Linked DNA regions of Caenorhabditis elegans. The protein of the gene in region 2 interacts with the protein of the main gene of each other region in a pairwise test. Each region holds a gene or a part of one and is shown on either strand. Other genes may lie near its edges. The genes, in order: sex-1, sma-9 and klf-2.

Region 1 (5,542 bases), 570 kb from region 2:
TCAAGTAACACACATTTATTTTCTAATCGATCGAGTATACGGTTTTCGTTGATCATTCTTGTATACAGTCTCATCTTCACGTCATCACCACACTGAGTCCGCACATCGCCTCCTTAGTCAGACAGGTCCACATTCACATTGCTGTCAACTCGCCATATTTCTGTTTTCTCGGTTTCTCCATTAACCGGCTCATTTGTTTTTGAGTTTCATGTTGAAACAACGGTACACTCGTATTTGCACGTCTTCGCCATTTTCAATTTTTCCGCATTTCCCTGCTGTTCGAGACGGTACGCTCAATCCGTTCGGAAAGTTGGATCTCTGCACCAAAAAAAGGTGGCAGAAACTGCTATGCACAATCTGATTTCTTACAGTTGTCAATTGATGACGTCACTAGAAGAAGTAATGAATACAAGTTTGAGTAAGGTATATTACTGATTCTCTGAATCGTGTAGACAACTATTTCGGGTGCCATGTTCCAATAGAGCTGGAACTTCTTTGATTCTATTTTACCTTTGGAAAATTTGAAGAGTGCTCCTTTTTAATAGATTATATTCTAGATAGCCTAAAAGTGGGGTAATTAAAGTGCACTCTTAACCAACGCAATAGCCGTTTGCTAGTCTCCCTTTTTGATTTTAATTACGGTCACTGGATTTTTATGTTTCCACTAATACCAGATTTACACTTTTGGGAAGTGCAATAGAAAACCATGTTGTTTTGCTCTAAGATTGAAATAGCTTGAAATTTAATAACCGATCCTTGATTGAAGTTGTCTTAGATATACATCCAGATCAATATATTTTTTTTGCGATTTTTATATTTTCTTAATTCAAACAGTATGAATATTAGTTTCAGTGTTTTTAACACTTTCAAACTTTCTATCCCTTTAAAACAACTGAAAACACAGAACATAGTTTTTTCTATTACAAATAATCATTATCAGTTAATTATGCCCCTTTTACGGACCATGCATTGCACTATCTAATCAACTTCATCGGTTAGATAATGTTTTGTGTCATGGAAAACACTTTCCCTTACGTTTTTCCTGATGATTTTTATCTTGCTTATGTATCTTAAATCGTTAAGAGTAGAGAAAAATGAAACAGCTGTTTTCTTTTTTTTCTTGGAAAAATGCCTGTGTAGATGGAAGAACATGGTGCAATAGAAACAAATTTATGAATTGTTCAAAAATTCGTCATTTTGAAGAAAGTACATCGACAGATGCACAAAATTTCGCAGAGAGTCTTTTATGCTTTAACAGTTCCAGCTGTCGTTTTGATGAATTTTCCATAAAGTACAAAGTTAGGGTGAAGTTTATTTGTGAAACGGGAATGCAATTCGTGAACTCATAAAGATTGTGCATGTTACTGAAACGTCTCTTCGTAATAGAAACCGGGGAAAAGGCATAAGTTGCATCATTAAGAGATGTTAGCTAGGGAAAGATGTGCACGAAGGTGTATTGTTATGTCCGAGTGTACAAGTGGAGGACGAAATATTGGTGATCTAGAATTCCGTTAGTAATTTAGATGCCTTACTAGTTACACAGTTCACGCAATAGCCGGCGAGCGTTAATTGTTGAAGTTATGTGCTATATTATGTGCCATTTTTGGAGATATTAATAATATTCACTCTTATTAGAGTATCCTCCCGTCCTATATATTTCATCTCCCAAGTTGTGTATGCGCAAGCGATGTGCACCAATTTTTAAAGGTGGTTGTAAACCGGCAGACCTCTTTCCAGACGGTGTCTTGTTGTGCGCATTCGCCTCTTCTCCTCCCCTTTGCAGACTGTTCATTTCTCGATCACAGTTGTCTCGTTTTTCATCTCCAACAATTGCGGACCACTGCATTGCCTCCTCTTCTCTCTCAGTCCGCACTTTTTTGGATCGATATTTTGTTTTTCATTGTGCATATCTCTAGTTTGTTGAGTTTTCTCTGTGTGATTCTTTGCAACTCTGTAAACATTATTATCTTACTCTTCTCACTACACGTCATCGCTTCCCAACATCTCGTCACTTCTCCTCACCCAAGAGGTGTCAATTCACACCTTAACATGATGGTGAAGTGAGCTCGAGTGGATAGTACTTCATCTCGAGCCCTCCTTCTGTTGCTTTATCTTACCGTCTCCTCTTCCCTAGTTTTTTCCTGTGAGAAAGGCACGCAACCATGCAACACATTGTGTATGGAATATCTAATTGCAAATTGCGCAAGAATTGCCTAGAACAACGCAATCATTTTCTCGGGGGAGAACGCAGTAATCTTGTTCGCTCAAACTATCTTCGTTTATTTTTGTGCGTGATTGTGGACTTGGCTGATCAATTTTTGCATCCATGATTTCTACCAAAAACTTTTAAAAAAAAAATGCACACATGTGTAGTAGCGGCTTAACATGTGAAGGACTATACTAGGTAGTTATAAATTGTATCACATCTTCTCAACCTAGTTGAATTTGTTGGAAACTTCATAATGCTTTTGGAAATTGTTCTATTCAGATCACTTTTGAATTTTAATTTAAGAAGTTGAACACGTTTCTTACTTTCCGGTACTAAAATATCAATTAAAAGGTAAAATTTTACTCTAAAACCATGTGTGAAGCTCACCTCATGCCACCCGTTTTTTTAATCGAAATGTGCTTGCTTGTCGAGCAATCTCCCAGTGGTGCACTCCTCCTCAGCTCCGCCTATCCTCCTCGTCTCTCCCCATCCTCTCACCCACAGGCAGGCATTCAGCGCAGATTAATACACGATACCAGCCTTCCTTATTGCTAGTTAATAGTTCCCTGCTTTAAAAACTAATTGTTGATTTCTAGATTCTAGCTTTCCATGTTCTCTTCATCAAATTGTTATCACGTTTTTCTCGAACTGCTGTTCTTTTCCTTTGTCAGCAGATTTTCCATTTCTTTCTTTTACCTTTCAGATAATTCTCTTACCAATTCTCTGTCTCTTCCCACTGTGAAAGTTGTCCGTTACTGCATTACTCAATAATTTTAATTTTCAGATGAGTTTCGAAACAAAACCTAACTATCTGTTACTGACAAATCCTGACACACCGCTTTCTGTATGCACATCTCCATACTACAGCCCTTCTGGAAAAACAGCTTCAATTCCATCATCAGAGGCAAGCAAACCAGAAGGAACAAATGGTCAATGGTCACATCTTCCGACTGGAGCTGTAAGTTTTTGTCGTCATCATTTTCATATTTTGTTCTGATTTACAAAGTTAATGCGTAGTTTCAAAATAGAAATCCAGGAATTAAACTGAAAACTAAATCTTCTCAATTTGCAGACGTACGTGACGGATGAATTCTCGTCAGAATTCCAAATCCAAAACGGATCGACAGCAGCTCAAAGTGGTAACGCCAACAACTACGCTGACCCTCTCTCACACCGTCGCTACTTCAATAACGTCAATGGGTACAATCACCATCAGTTCTATGATACGGCGTCACAAGCCAGCGTGAGCTCGCCGGCAACAAGTGGTAAGTTAGGGAGTCTATTTCTATCAAAATCTATCAGTAGGTGGGGCATATCATCAAGTGTGTGGTGACAAGTGGCAGCAACATCTACAGCAACACAGATTTTTTTCCTCACCTAAGAACATGTGTCTGAGAAGTGTTGCAAGTTTCCGAGTTTCTCTCGCCTTTTTTCTTTATTTCTCCCATTTAATTGATAGAAGAATGAGAGCAGAGAAAATGAAAAAGTCTAATAGACTTTGCAATCATTCTTCATCTCTTCCCTCTCTGGATCATATTTAGCTCGATAGGGACCAGATCAGTTGTGCTCTGTTCCACGTATCTTCCTGTATTCTAAGATGGCCTACTTTTGTACAACGAAAGTGAAGGCAAGCGGCTATGACGTGGTTGCGTAATAATCTCCAGGTTTCGTCATTTCTTTGGACGTCCGCTGCCAGACCACAGTGATGTATGGGTACGGTAATAAAAGAATGCCGATGGGTGAAAGAAGAGGAGAAGACGAAGTGTAATAAAGGAGGAGAACGTAGAGAACGGTGAAAGAGTGCGATGTAGGCGTGGTAAAAAGACTGTGAGAGTGAGAGAGACAATGAGAACGCATATGCCACAAATCTTGAAGATGTGGCTAAGAGCTTACTGAGTCGCGGAGAGAACGGGACCAAGGAAAACTAGGTAAATACTATCACGTCATCATTGAGAAGGAAACAAATATGGTGTGCACAGTGTACTTCAATAAATTTCACTGGTATACATAGCATGTTAAATCTGTAATCTGCCAAGTTGAGTTAAATTTGTATATTTCTGATGTGTAAATAAGTTTAGAAAAAGAATAAAACAGAAGAATTCGAAGAATCGAAGAAATGTTGTATGACCATATCACCCACTTGAAAATTGACTCTTCTAAAATTTCTTAGATAATTTTACATTTACAGTAACTTCATCGTTGTCTCCTCCTGATTCCTTATCAAATGGTCATACCACTCAACGTCATCACATTGGGAAGGCGATCTCATTTTGCAAAGTATGCGGAGACAAAGCAAGTGGATACCATTACGGAGTGACGTCATGCGAAGGATGCAAGGTAGGCATGAATGGTCCTAAAATGATCACTAATCACGTGGTTCTATTGAATTTAATGAAACCCTTCTCCACTCATAAATCCCCTTCTTGTTCTATTTACGAAACCTATATTTATGACCGTCTTATTTGATTTTTTGTTTTCCCTTATGTTAGACCAAGAGCGAGAGAATGAGCACTTCCCCAACACAAATTGCGCAATTATTTGGAGACTGTGTATTGCTATGTGCATTAAGGACTCTCTTTTCCCATTGTGCGAGTGTCTTGGATGCATACTAACATAAGAGGAACAAGCCTTACTCGGCAAATACATATAATGACGGTTAATAAAACATGGTTGGTTGGTCTGCTGAGCAAGTGCGTTAGATACAAAGAAAAACATCAACTGAACGAGAAAGTTTAAGCGGATAAGATGACTAATTTAAATTTGAATCCCTCATTCTTCCCTTCTTTATTCTTGGTCATTTACACATCACAACGCCCCGCTCACATTTTGAGATTTCAAAAAATGGTTCGACTTCAGCACAAAGGCAGTAAATCCTTTACAAGGGGCGTACTCTTGGCACCGACACGTGCCATCAAATTAGTTTTTTTTTGAATTAACTATTTCTTTCAGGGATTCTTCCGTCGGAGCATTCAGCGCAAGATTGATTACCGGTGTTTGAAACAGCAAGTTTGTGAGATCAAACGCGAGAGCCGCAACAGATGCCAGTACTGTCGTTTCAAAAAATGCCTTGATTCTGGAATGTCAAAAGATTGTAAGTTTGATCAGATAGAAGTGTGCAACAATTTTGTGGTGTCAAACACACCTGACGCAGTTGGCTCAATAGGGTTTACACAAATGATAATTTATTAGAAATCAAAGTCTATTGAGGTTTTAAGGTTTGATCACTGTGAAGCCTCAATAAGCTGAAACGAAAACGATTTCTATATTCGTCATAAAACCTGAAACCATTAGTTTTTCTGAAAACATTTCAAGCTAAATTTTCACATGTTCAAA
Region 2 (5,542 bases):
GGATACAGTTTCCACATAGTTGATCTCCGTGTGTTGCCACTCCTCTCAATATGGAATATATGGGCGGCCTGTTTTCGCTTATTTTTCCTTCGCTCGGCGTCTATTTTCTTCGTCTTTTCTCCACTCTTTCTTCTCACTCGTCAAAACCACATAATGATCACGTGAACCTTCACTTATTTTTCACCTGCTTCTTTTCCTGTCCTCTACACGTTTGTCTGATGTTTAATCACAGTTGTTTTCCTGCCTCGGCCTCTTTTCAAACTCCTCGGGGTGTTTCCTTTTTTTTTCCTCTCTCTCTTTTTTTCTGTAGTGCTTCCTTTATTTCTCATTTTTCTTTTCTTGCTTTTCATTCACCAGGCCCCTTCTTTTTTTTCTATTTCTCATCCATCCAAAGTGAGGGAGAAAAAGAGAGAAAAAGAGTGAAAGAGTGCTTTTCTGTGCACACATATCACTTGGTCTGTTAGTGTCATGGGACCCCGGGGCATTTCCTCCTGTTTATCGTTTTCTCTGGGTTCAAACGAGAAAGGATCTTTCGGAATTGTCAAGGCTCAAGCATCTCTTCTGAGCCAATGAGTGTTTTTTCTCTTTATCACAAATGTCTTTTACTTTTTACACGCTTTTTACAAGATTTGAATGATTTGTTTCCGAAGAGATAGAGAAAATAAAGATATTAATCATGAAAACTTGTTAATAGAGTACCGTAATTGGTGAGGTTTAGCTTATTTGAGTGCAGAAAAATTTAAATCTTGAAGTTTTCTTGGCGAAAAATTAAAAAAAAAACAGCAGAACTGTGAAATAAATATTTGCAGCTACCAGATACATCTATTTTAGTCATTTGAATTATTGAGAAAAACAGACTACATAAATGAACTACAGTATACAACTTGAATTAAAAAAGGAGTTTTTGACTGAAAAATAACCATTTTCTAGCTTTAATAGACATAGTTTTTGGCTTTGATTTTTTGTTAACGAAAGCAACTAGAAAACATTCAAATTTCAAATGTATTTAGTCATTTTCTGCATATCAAAACTATTTTTTTAAACCTGATGCTCCAAGTGTTTAGTTAAATTTATATGTAATAAATAATTTTGTTTTCCATTAATATCAGTTTTGATAAAACTAAAGTAATACAGTAGTTATCCACCACAATTTGGTGCCCTGATTGTCCTCTTAATATTTTAATTGTACGAAATTTTGCCATCAACCAACCACACTCACTTTTTTTGGTAACTTTTCTTCCCATTTCTCTACTTCTCTTGCATTTTGTTATTTCACAATAGTCCACTCTATCTTCTTTTTCCAATGTCCCTCTCAAATCATTCGCGCCCTGTTTAGCACCCATAGAGTCATTGATCACTTGGCCAACAGCCGGTCTCCCGGTAATGATAACGGGAAAAGTCAATGAACATTGAGTGAGAAAAAGAAAGAAAGAGAGAGAAAAGGACAGAGAGCAGCAAATGTGTATGTCACACACTCTTTTAGTCTCATAGAATACTAATCGATCACAATCACAAGTTACAAAGAAGTGTTGAACATTTTCAAGAGCTGCAAATCTGTGATAAGGTGACGAAGAATTGAGGTGACGTACTCTTTTCCCGTTTTTTTAAATTGTGATAGTGTGAGTGAAAAGATTGCGCGAGTAATGGGTAACCGTTTCGAAGACTGAACTGCATTCATGAGAGCCTCCAATCTGTTGCAGGAGTCAAAGTGAGGCAATTTGCGTCTTGATTTGATATGAATAGAAAAAGAATGAACGACAATATATTGTCTTCTGTTTTGATTAATGATTTATTTCAAGACATTGTATACAGTCTTAAAAACATTTGGCAACGGTTTTAGTAATTGTTATTTTTATTCCCCTTCATTCATTGTAATGAAACATATTAGAGAAATCAGTATGAATCAAATCAGAACGACGTTTGAATTGATAGGAATGAAGAAAAAACGTGACCACTCTTCCCCGAATCATTAAAAGTGAACCTTGTACCCAGTTTGCTGTAGACAAGTAACTTTCATGCTAATTATGGTCTCATGTGAACGTCACATGGTTCCAATCACTTTCTCATTATTTTTTGTAATACGTCTTCATCTCTCATTTTCCCCCTTATCTCACTTTGTTTTACGATGAACTTAACTTACATGAATCAAACTTAAAAAGTGGTTTTAGAATTGGCGAATGAGCCATCAGGCAATTGGAATCTCGAACAACTTTCAGCAGGTACAACGTGAGCAGCTAAATCATCAACGATTATTACAAGCACAGCTCCAGACTAATGGACCTGGAAGTGTTTCTCAGCAGCAGCAGGCTTCGCAGCAACAACAGCAAGTGCAGCACGTCCAGCAGCAACAACAGTCGCAGCAGCAACAGCAACAAGTTGCTTCACAACAAAACCAGCCGCAATTGCAAATGAATGCTCAGATACTGCAAGCTTTGTCAACACCACAAGGACAAAATTTAGTTAACATGCTTTTGATGCAACAGGCACTTAATGCGCAACAGACTGATACTCAGAATCCACAACAAATTATGCAACATCAATTAGCTCAACAGCAGGCACAACAAGCTCAGCAAGCTCAACAAGCGCAACAAGCTCGACAACAGGCAGAACAACAAGCTCAAGCCCAAGCTCGTCATCAAGCTGAGCAGCAGGCTCAGCAACAGGCACAGCAACAGGCGCAGGCACGGCAACAAGAACAACAAGCTCAATTAGCAGCTATTCAACAGCAAGTCACGCCACAGGTTTGTGTTTAGTACAAAATTGATAATTCGAAACTTTGATTTTTATTTTAAGCAATTTGCTCAAATATTGCACATGCAACAGCAGCTTCAACAACAGCAGTTTCAACAACAACAGCTCCAGCAGCAACAACTTCAGCAGCAGCAACTGCAACAGCAACAACTTCAACAACAACAGCTCCAGCAGCAACAGTTACAACAGGTTCTACAGGTGAGTTGACACAGAAATAGCATGTTGATAACTTGAAATTGGCGTTATTTTATTTTTTTTTTCTTCAGATCTCACAAGCCCAACAACAAGCTCAACAAGCTCAGCATGTCCAGTCTAGACAAATGCAGCCGTCCCAACAGAGCCAGGTACAGGCGCAACTCCAGCAGCAACAGCAATTGCAGCAGCAACAAGCTCAGCAGCTTTCACAGCAGCAGGCGCAGCAGCAACAACAATTACAACAGTTACAACTGCAGCAATTTCTTCAACAACAGCAACAGCTTCATCAGCAACGTGCGGCTGCCCAACAAGCTCAGGCTCAGAACAATGCTTCACAACAACGCCCGTCGGTTGCATCGACGCCTGCATTGTCTTCAACTCCACAGTTGAATGATCTTACACAGACAATGCAAGCCCAGCTTCAACAGCAACTGCTTCTCCAACAGCAACAGGCTCAGGCTCAACAAGCTCAACAAGCTCAGCAAGCACAACTAGCTCAACAGGCTCAACAGCAACAGCAAGGGCAGTCTCAAAATAGAACAGTTTCTCAAGCACTGCAATATATTCAGTCTATGCAACTGCAGCAAAGAGCCGATGGAACCCCAAACGGTACGTTTAAATTTTGTATTTTTCTCTGTTTTCATTTTCTCACGTTCACACGCTTCACAACTCTGTGTCTGTTTCCCTTCTCTGTTTTCCCAGTTTCTCCCTTCCCGTTTTCCATCGTTTCCCTTTTTTGCCAGTCCACATACGTTCAACCACACAACCACACCACAACTCTTTGAAAATTATCCGATATACGTATATGACATCAAAAATATCATAGAACATTTTGTTTCCATTTGTTTTTTTTTGAAATATGCATGCAAATAGATAGTGTGTAAACCAACAATAATTAGAAAGTGATAAAGAATGAGATTTTTGTAACCATTACTTCAGCTTTTCTCCTGAATCATCTTCTTCTCTTTTTCTGTGCACCACCTTCTAACCATTGGTTGTTCAAACACGCTTACCCAATATTTTTCCCCTTCAGCAGAGTCACAAGAAGAGAGGTTGGCTCAAATGCTGAACGAACAACAGCAGCGGATGCTGCAAAATCAGGCGCGCGAGGCACAACATCGTCAGTTGCTCATTTCTTCGACGCCTGCTCCTCGAGGTGGTATCACCATGGGAACTCCAATTGGTATTGCAAGGAGAGAAGAGCAGCCGGTACCGTCTACGGTGGCGGTAACGACGGCACCGGCTGCAGTCCGCACGCCTGTTGCTGTGCCACCTATGAAACAAAATTCTAACCCTTCCATGAATCCATCATCCACATCTACGTCTGCATCTGCCACAAGCAGTCATCAGATTTTAGCCCCCTCGCTCTCCAAACCACTTGAGCAGCCTTCCTCGTCGAAGGCCGCATCGTCTGGCAACGAGTCGATGTCGGACCACATCAGCCGAATCATCTCTGAGAACGAAGTCATTCTTCAAGGAGACCCGGTGAGTGCCGAATTCTTCTAGCGTGATGGGTTTTCTTTTTTTGAATAATTCGCCCCCTGGAGTTTGATGAAATGATACGGAAACAATACCAGACCAAAATAAAACAAAACCTTTCATGTTTTTATTCATAATTTCAAATCTCATTTGTCCTTCTGTTTGACGTCTTCGAATCTGTCCATTTACAGGTGATTCGCAAAAAGCGGCCATACCATCGGCAAATAGGTGCGCAATCCTCGGTCGATCACGACAGTAATAGTGGTGGTGAGTTGTGGTGTGGTTGAGTTTCTTGAAAGCATCGCTCCATTACCCTTGTCCTTCTATCCCAAGACAAGATATTGTCTCCTTCTATTACTCGCCCCAACGTTTCCGCTATACCGTCTCGATTTGCATGCCAGTGCGTGTCTGCACGTGTCCATATCTGCATATTATATATTGATGAATATTGTGATTGTCCCGTTTGTCCCTTAATGTTTTATATTTTTCAGGATCAACAAGAACTTCGCCTGGGCCAAAAGACAGTCGTATGTTGCAAGCTGCTAGTCGGAGCCAGAGTTTATTCGAGCTTAGTGGATCAAAACATTTCATGGGCAGCTTGACTAGTGGTCAGCCATTGCTTCGTCCGATTCAGGCACATAATGATCCTAACTACACACCGGAGTGTATATACTGCAAACTCACGTTTCCCAATGAAGCTGGTCTCCAAGCTCACGAAGTTGTTTGCGGAAAGAAAAAAGAGCTAGAAAAAGCACAAATAGCACAAGAAGGAAACCCGCATAGTGCTCTGAAGCGTCGTCACACTCATCAAGATGCAACGTTAGCAATGCATTCTCCACTTGCAGCCCACACACCGTCGAACATGCCTGGTCCTTCAGAGCCTGCAATAAAGTTGAAAAAAGTAAGTAGTCTTATTTAATTAGCATTACATCATCGTTGAATGTTTTAGGATGACTCTACTGAACTAGACGGTACATCAAAACCTGACGCTCTTCAATCCTCCTCATCATTTCCTAGAAGTTTACCAAAGGAGTGGGAACAACATATGTTAACGCTTCAAAATCTTGCCGCCATCATTCCGCCATTTGTAAGTGAAAGACTATACAGGATCCATACC
Region 3 (5,542 bases), on a different chromosome or scaffold from region 2:
AGTACCGGACAAGGCCAAATATTGATATGGACTAACATAACATAGCAACAGTAGTTGATTCCTGTGCATTCGTTACAAAAAGTATCTAGTGATTGATGAGAAGCGTGTTTGTCAACGGAAGTATCCCGTTACACAGAACAATGTGCCGACGAGTGCGCGCTGTTCACGACATTGAAGAGGAGGATATGATTAATTATGTATAATGAGGTTCTGTAAGCTACTCACCACTATGAACACGCTCATGAGCTGTTAGATGGGAACTTTTTGTGTAGACCTTGCCGCAACCTGAAAATGAAATTCAAGCTTAAGCTAAACACGCTTGCAACTTACCTTGATAAAAACACTTATGAACTCTTAATCGATCCAAAGTAGCCTTATCCCTCCGTTTACTCGGCACCTTTTTTGGTTTTTCAGTGCTCTGCGGATGATATACTCTTCCACGATCTTTTAAAGGAATCCTGGGATCTTCCTCGTCTTTACCCGACAAATCGCTTGAAAATGAGTAACTGGATACAGACGCTGCAGGCGATGGAACGAATAACTTGGCTTCAAACGGATATGGTGTCGAGCTTCCCGAGTTTTGATGTTCCATTGGAGTCATCGAAGGTTCCATGTGATTGAGGTGAGTTTCGGAATTATTCTGTTGTGGAAAGTCATGGGAAAAATTGAAAGAACTGTGCGGGCCTTGTGGAATATTTTCTTCGAAAGTTTGTTGGACATGGTTATGATGATTGTAGTGCTGCTCGATGACCTCAAAAAATAGAAAATTGAATTTAAAAACTTCAATTAAATACAAAACCTGATTATTAACAGGTCCCGTATGAAAATGATAGTTGTGAACATTGATGACTGGAGCCGCAGCTGCTCCATTATAATGATGATGAGATTGTTGGTGATAATGCTGCTGATGATGTTGGTGATGGGCATTTTGGTATTGAGACTGATGATAGTAACCATTTGAACTAGACGGGACTATGCTAGAGTACATCTGGAAGGAGTTGTAGATGAATAACGATAAATTGAAAATCACCAAAAAAGAGTGAGACTCTGAAACGAATTTTCAAAAATTACATTGTAACAGAAGGTCAAATAAAAATTAGCATAGGCAAATACTAATTCATTTTGTGGTTAAAAAAAGATGTAATGCCTGAACCTAATTGTATGCATAGTTCTAAATTTGTAGTGAAAATCTTAACCATAAGCCAAAGTAAGGCAACTTCTACTAGTAGATAGTACAAATATTCCAACACTACAACAACACCATGTAATACCGTTGTGCATACACACACGCACAAATGTGACGTCTTCATTCTCGTTCAATACATTTCAAGTCATAAAAGTCTTGCGTTCTTCTTTGCCTACTGCTTACTTTTCGATATTTGTTGTGAATTTTCAAAGCGAAAGTTGTAGTTCTTGTGAATATGTTTTTACGTCATATCACAAGTGTATATACAAATAGGGGGAATTAGTAGCAAAATTTTTGGATCTTTTTGATATTTAGAGAATTCACACTCAAACCGAAATATTCAAGAGATAAGAAAGTTAAAGGTGGAGTAGCGCCTGTGAGAATTTTGTCTCACTTATATTAAACCAAAGCGACAAAATATCATGATGCAACACTCCTAAAAATTTTAGGTTTCTCATAATTCCAGGTCAAAGTTTTGGCACATTGCCAAAATATTGAAAAATATGAGCCTTTGAGGAAATTCAATGCAGTGTCGCATGTTCCGACCCCTATAATTTTTTAAAACAAATAATTAAAACAAAATGAAAATATAAAAAATGCAAGAAATTTTTTTCCGACTTCTAAAATTATGAGTGGCAAAGAATGAGCACTTGTCAGTTTTTGACAGTAAATAGAAAAATTTCAAAATTTTTTTGAAAGTTTTATTTTGATATTCGGTCATTTTTGACACCATAGGAGTTGTTTTTAGCATTTTCCCCAATGGCGCTGCTCCATTTTTAAGAACTTTCAAGTTCGAAATTCTGGGAACTAACTACTAACTATAAGGCTCTAACTCTCAATGCACTGAACACGTAGGAACTAACTCACTAAAAACAAAATACCTATGTACTCACCACAAAGAACAAAACAATGTTAATGCTAGATTACAATACGTGCCTTCATTAGTAGAGCATCTATCGTGAAACTAAAGAAAAATGACTAATGTTTCCACAAAAATAAACATCCTAAGCGAATATACACACCTCTTCTGGTCTACAAAAAAGTGAGCTCCCCAGGCTCCAAAAAAGGGGTGTGGTGACACCAGACCGGTCACTCCTATGATAACAAACAGAAAACTTGAGCAAACTTTTCTTTCCCCCCAAGAATAGAAAATACAGAAAACTTGAGCATGTGTAGATGGTGGTCATGATATGTTTGATCTAAAGATTACGACACTTTTGGGCATTTCGAAAAAAAATAAACATGTCAAGAAGACGATGGTCAAGCTAGAAGAAAATTATCCAAGAAGGCGCACATATGCCCTGCAAGTGCCATTTTATGATAGCATGTCAAAACTGATAGGCATGGGCAAACAGTAACCAAAAAACGGGGAGGTTTGTTGTTTCTCTGAGAAAGGGGTGGCAGAAAGGTGTGTGCGCGGAAAATGTGTGGAGGGGAGATGGGTGTCATTAATAGAAGAAGGAAGGGAGTTTTTTGGGAAAAGGACATGTGATAAATAATTTTGTTTTCAAAGTTCAGAAATTTTATAGAAAGAACACAAGGCTTTGTAGTGCTCCAAAGTTATGCCGGTTTTGATCAATAGTACAGTACATCACGGGTGGGTGGCAAACGATTTTTCCGGCAAATGGGCAAATTGCCGGCAAATCAGAAATTCTATTTCTATGAAAATTCTATGAAAATTTCAAAAAAAAAAACGGAAAAAAATTCAAAAAGGCACAGTTTTAAGTGTTTCCGTCTTATAAAAAAAATCCCTCTAAACATTTTTGGCAAATCTGATATCCATCAAATTGGCAAACCGGCAACTTGCCGAAAATGAAAATTCCGACAAATAGGCAAACCGGCATTTTGCCTATTTGCCGGATTTGCGGACAGTCAAGTCACAACCAAGATTTGGTTTTAAATCTGAAAATGACGTGCGGGACTAAAAACAGAAGGGAAATGTAGACGCTAGATTGAAAAAAAAAACTATACATATCCACAAACAGTATCACTTACAGTACTCTAAAATGATACCCCAATGCTGTGTTTATCCAAACGTCCCCCCCCTCCCACCTCCAATTTTAGTACCCTCTTCCCTACCGCCTCGCCTTGCTACAGTCGGGAAGTTATGATTTTACGGGTGCGAACAATCCAGTAAGTGGGTGCGGAAGAGGAGGAAGCAGTGATTACTGTTAAAAGTGCCGACTAGGTATGTAAACGTACTTGAGAATATTGTTTGGACGGGCGGTCTCCTTTTTTTCAACTGCGGCGGGACCATATCAGTTTTATGATTGATTAATGTTTGATATATTGAGATAATGGAAAGGTGTGTTCGACTGGTAAAACTCGCAGTATGGTTTTAACTGAGGCAACTCCAGCAACCTAATTCTTTGTAAAAATTGTAACCGTCAGGATTTTGAGTTTTGACAAAAAAAACTAATAAAAATATTAGAAGATCTCGAAGAGAATTCAGATGTGAGTAAACAAGTATGTACATATGTTCTGAAATATATTTATATATACACATATATATTTACATAGACATACAAATTTAGTGGCAATGTATCTTTTTGTCTGACACTCTACATTTTTGCGTGTTTAAAAGTGCAAGATGAGTCGTAAACAATTTTCATTCGATTTTTGGAATCTGGTTTTTAAAATTGAACAGCAAGTAATAGATCGTAAAAGCAACACAAACCAATAAGGACGTTGCAAATTGACCGGAGATTTCTGAAATTTGTTTTTTTTAAATTTAAATTGTTGATGTACTTACTTGCAATAATATGTCACCAGGACCATAATCAAATTTCCAGTAGTCCCAATTACAAAAACTGTACAATAAATAACGAAAAGGATAATTAGAAGAGGTTCCATTTTTTGAGACAACGGAAGTGAGAAAATACAATAACTACAATCTATTATATAGGTATTTTTTATATCCTCTATAATTTGTATTATGAAAATAGGTGAATTCTAAGAATCCCTTAAAAAATATATATAATAACTTTAGTATAATAGTCGTTAAAAATATTTCTAGTTTTCGCAGATAAGTACATAAAAAACAAGACTATCTAAGAATAATCAAAAATCTTTTCCAGAATTATCTTGTTTCTAGATATGATAATCTATTACATATAATAGGACCTCATTAGTCAGCTTATCTTGAAAACGATACAATATACAAAATAACTCCCAACACAATCGTAATTCTGACCTTCTTGGTTGCATTTTTCGCGCTCCATTGACAATCGCCTGCCGGAGATGACGCGTGTAAAAGTCGAGTACTCTAAAGGGACAAAAAAAAATTCAGTTTTACAACAAAAACCAATCCGCGACGCGGCACTCAACGCTCCGTAAATCTACCCAAGATGCGGCCGAGCCAAAATGGCCTAGTTCGGCAAACTCTAACATTTCAATTTATGATGGAAGCCAGACCCGCGTGGAAGATGCAATCAAAATTGACAAAAAGATCTCGTACCATACTTTCAAAAATTATTTTAGAATGCTGGTACATTTCGGAAGTTTAATGATTCTTGACGTGGACAAGAAAATATTTCAACATGAACATTTTTTTGGCCTAACCTTCACAATATTGCAATACTACAGAAAATTACATTTATTTGTACAGGATCACACAAAAATCAATAGTAAGCAAAGTATACAACGATGTGATTGAGGTAAGAAAAATATATTTAAAAAATTCTTTAATGCAAATCCTAGATATGAAGTTCTTGTTGAATCGTGTTCAACGCGTTTGTATTAGTAGATGGTCTCTGAATACTTGATCTCTGTGCATCTGTAGCTTGTTGATAAGTGGTTCCTTTTGCTATGGATATTTCATTCGAGAGACCAAGCATTGTGCGCATTGCTGAACGGTAGTCTCGACTGAAAGAATGTTTTGGGCTAGAATTAAAAAATTTCAAATTACCTCAATTTGTAATACACCACGGCATTAAATGCGCTCGACGTGAATATAAACGTTCCGCAGTACAACTGAATCATTCTTGCCACGTCCTTATCCATTGGCAGTGTTACCGTAAGCGCACCAATCAAGTCAGTCGTCATCCAACCACATACAACAAGGCATACAGTGACCATTAATGATTTGAAGACTGCTTTCATTGAGCTATCTAAATTTAAGCGTAGAATTTCCTCAACTTCTCGTTGGTTAATTACTCATTCTCATATTTTTGATCTTAAAATACACATATGCGTAGATGGGCGGTACAAAAAGATTTATGACAAACGAGGTGAGAGCAAACATATCATAGGCATGACCCAATGATTCCGGGAGTAGGCAAACGACATTTCTAAAAAGTAGCTTGATTGCCGGAATTTAAGTAAAACTGCTTACCTTTTTGGGTCCCGTTGCCCAAA

The links.
Region 1: the proteins of sma-9 (region 2) and sex-1 interact in a two-hybrid assay, tested with the Caenorhabditis elegans proteins (one large-scale study listed by BioGRID).
Region 3: the proteins of sma-9 (region 2) and klf-2 interact in a two-hybrid assay, tested with the Caenorhabditis elegans proteins (one large-scale study listed by BioGRID).

The regions. Positions count from the first base shown.
Region 1 is NC_003284.9:10,202,873-10,208,414, reverse strand, and holds the start of sex-1 (Steroid hormone receptor family member cnr14), read left to right. Parts: upstream 1-2,993; coding exon 2,994-3,167; intron 3,168-3,281; coding exon 3,282-3,474; intron 3,475-4,397; coding exon 4,398-4,546; intron 4,547-5,158; coding exon 5,159-5,300; intron 5,301-5,542. UniProt on the Caenorhabditis elegans protein: Transcriptional regulator which is involved in the sex determination and X chromosome dosage compensation pathways.
Region 2 is NC_003284.9:10,770,914-10,776,455, forward strand, and holds the start of sma-9 (Transcription factor sma-9), read left to right. Parts: upstream 1-2,177; coding exon 2,178-2,741; intron 2,742-2,793; coding exon 2,794-2,949; intron 2,950-3,017; coding exon 3,018-3,555; intron 3,556-3,979; coding exon 3,980-4,431; intron 4,432-4,616; coding exon 4,617-4,692; intron 4,693-4,916; coding exon 4,917-5,326; intron 5,327-5,374; coding exon 5,375-5,512; coding exon of another isoform or gene 5,513-5,542. UniProt on the Caenorhabditis elegans protein: Transcription factor, probably acting as a transcriptional activator and repressor, involved in the TGF-beta-like dbl-1 signaling pathway.
Region 3 is NC_003283.11:20,682,354-20,687,895, reverse strand, and holds the start of klf-2 (Kruppel-like factor 2), read right to left. Parts: upstream 2,214-5,542; 5' UTR 2,198-2,213; intron 2,167-2,197; 5' UTR 2,080-2,166; intron 989-2,079; coding exon 800-988; intron 752-799; coding exon 331-751; intron 286-330; coding exon 226-285; intron 1-225. Other genes in the region: srsx-35 (G-protein coupled receptors family 1 profile domain-containing protein), read right to left, coding at 4,882-5,050, 5,094-5,295, 5,342-5,475, 5,520-5,542. UniProt on the Caenorhabditis elegans protein: Probable transcription factor which regulates lipid metabolism.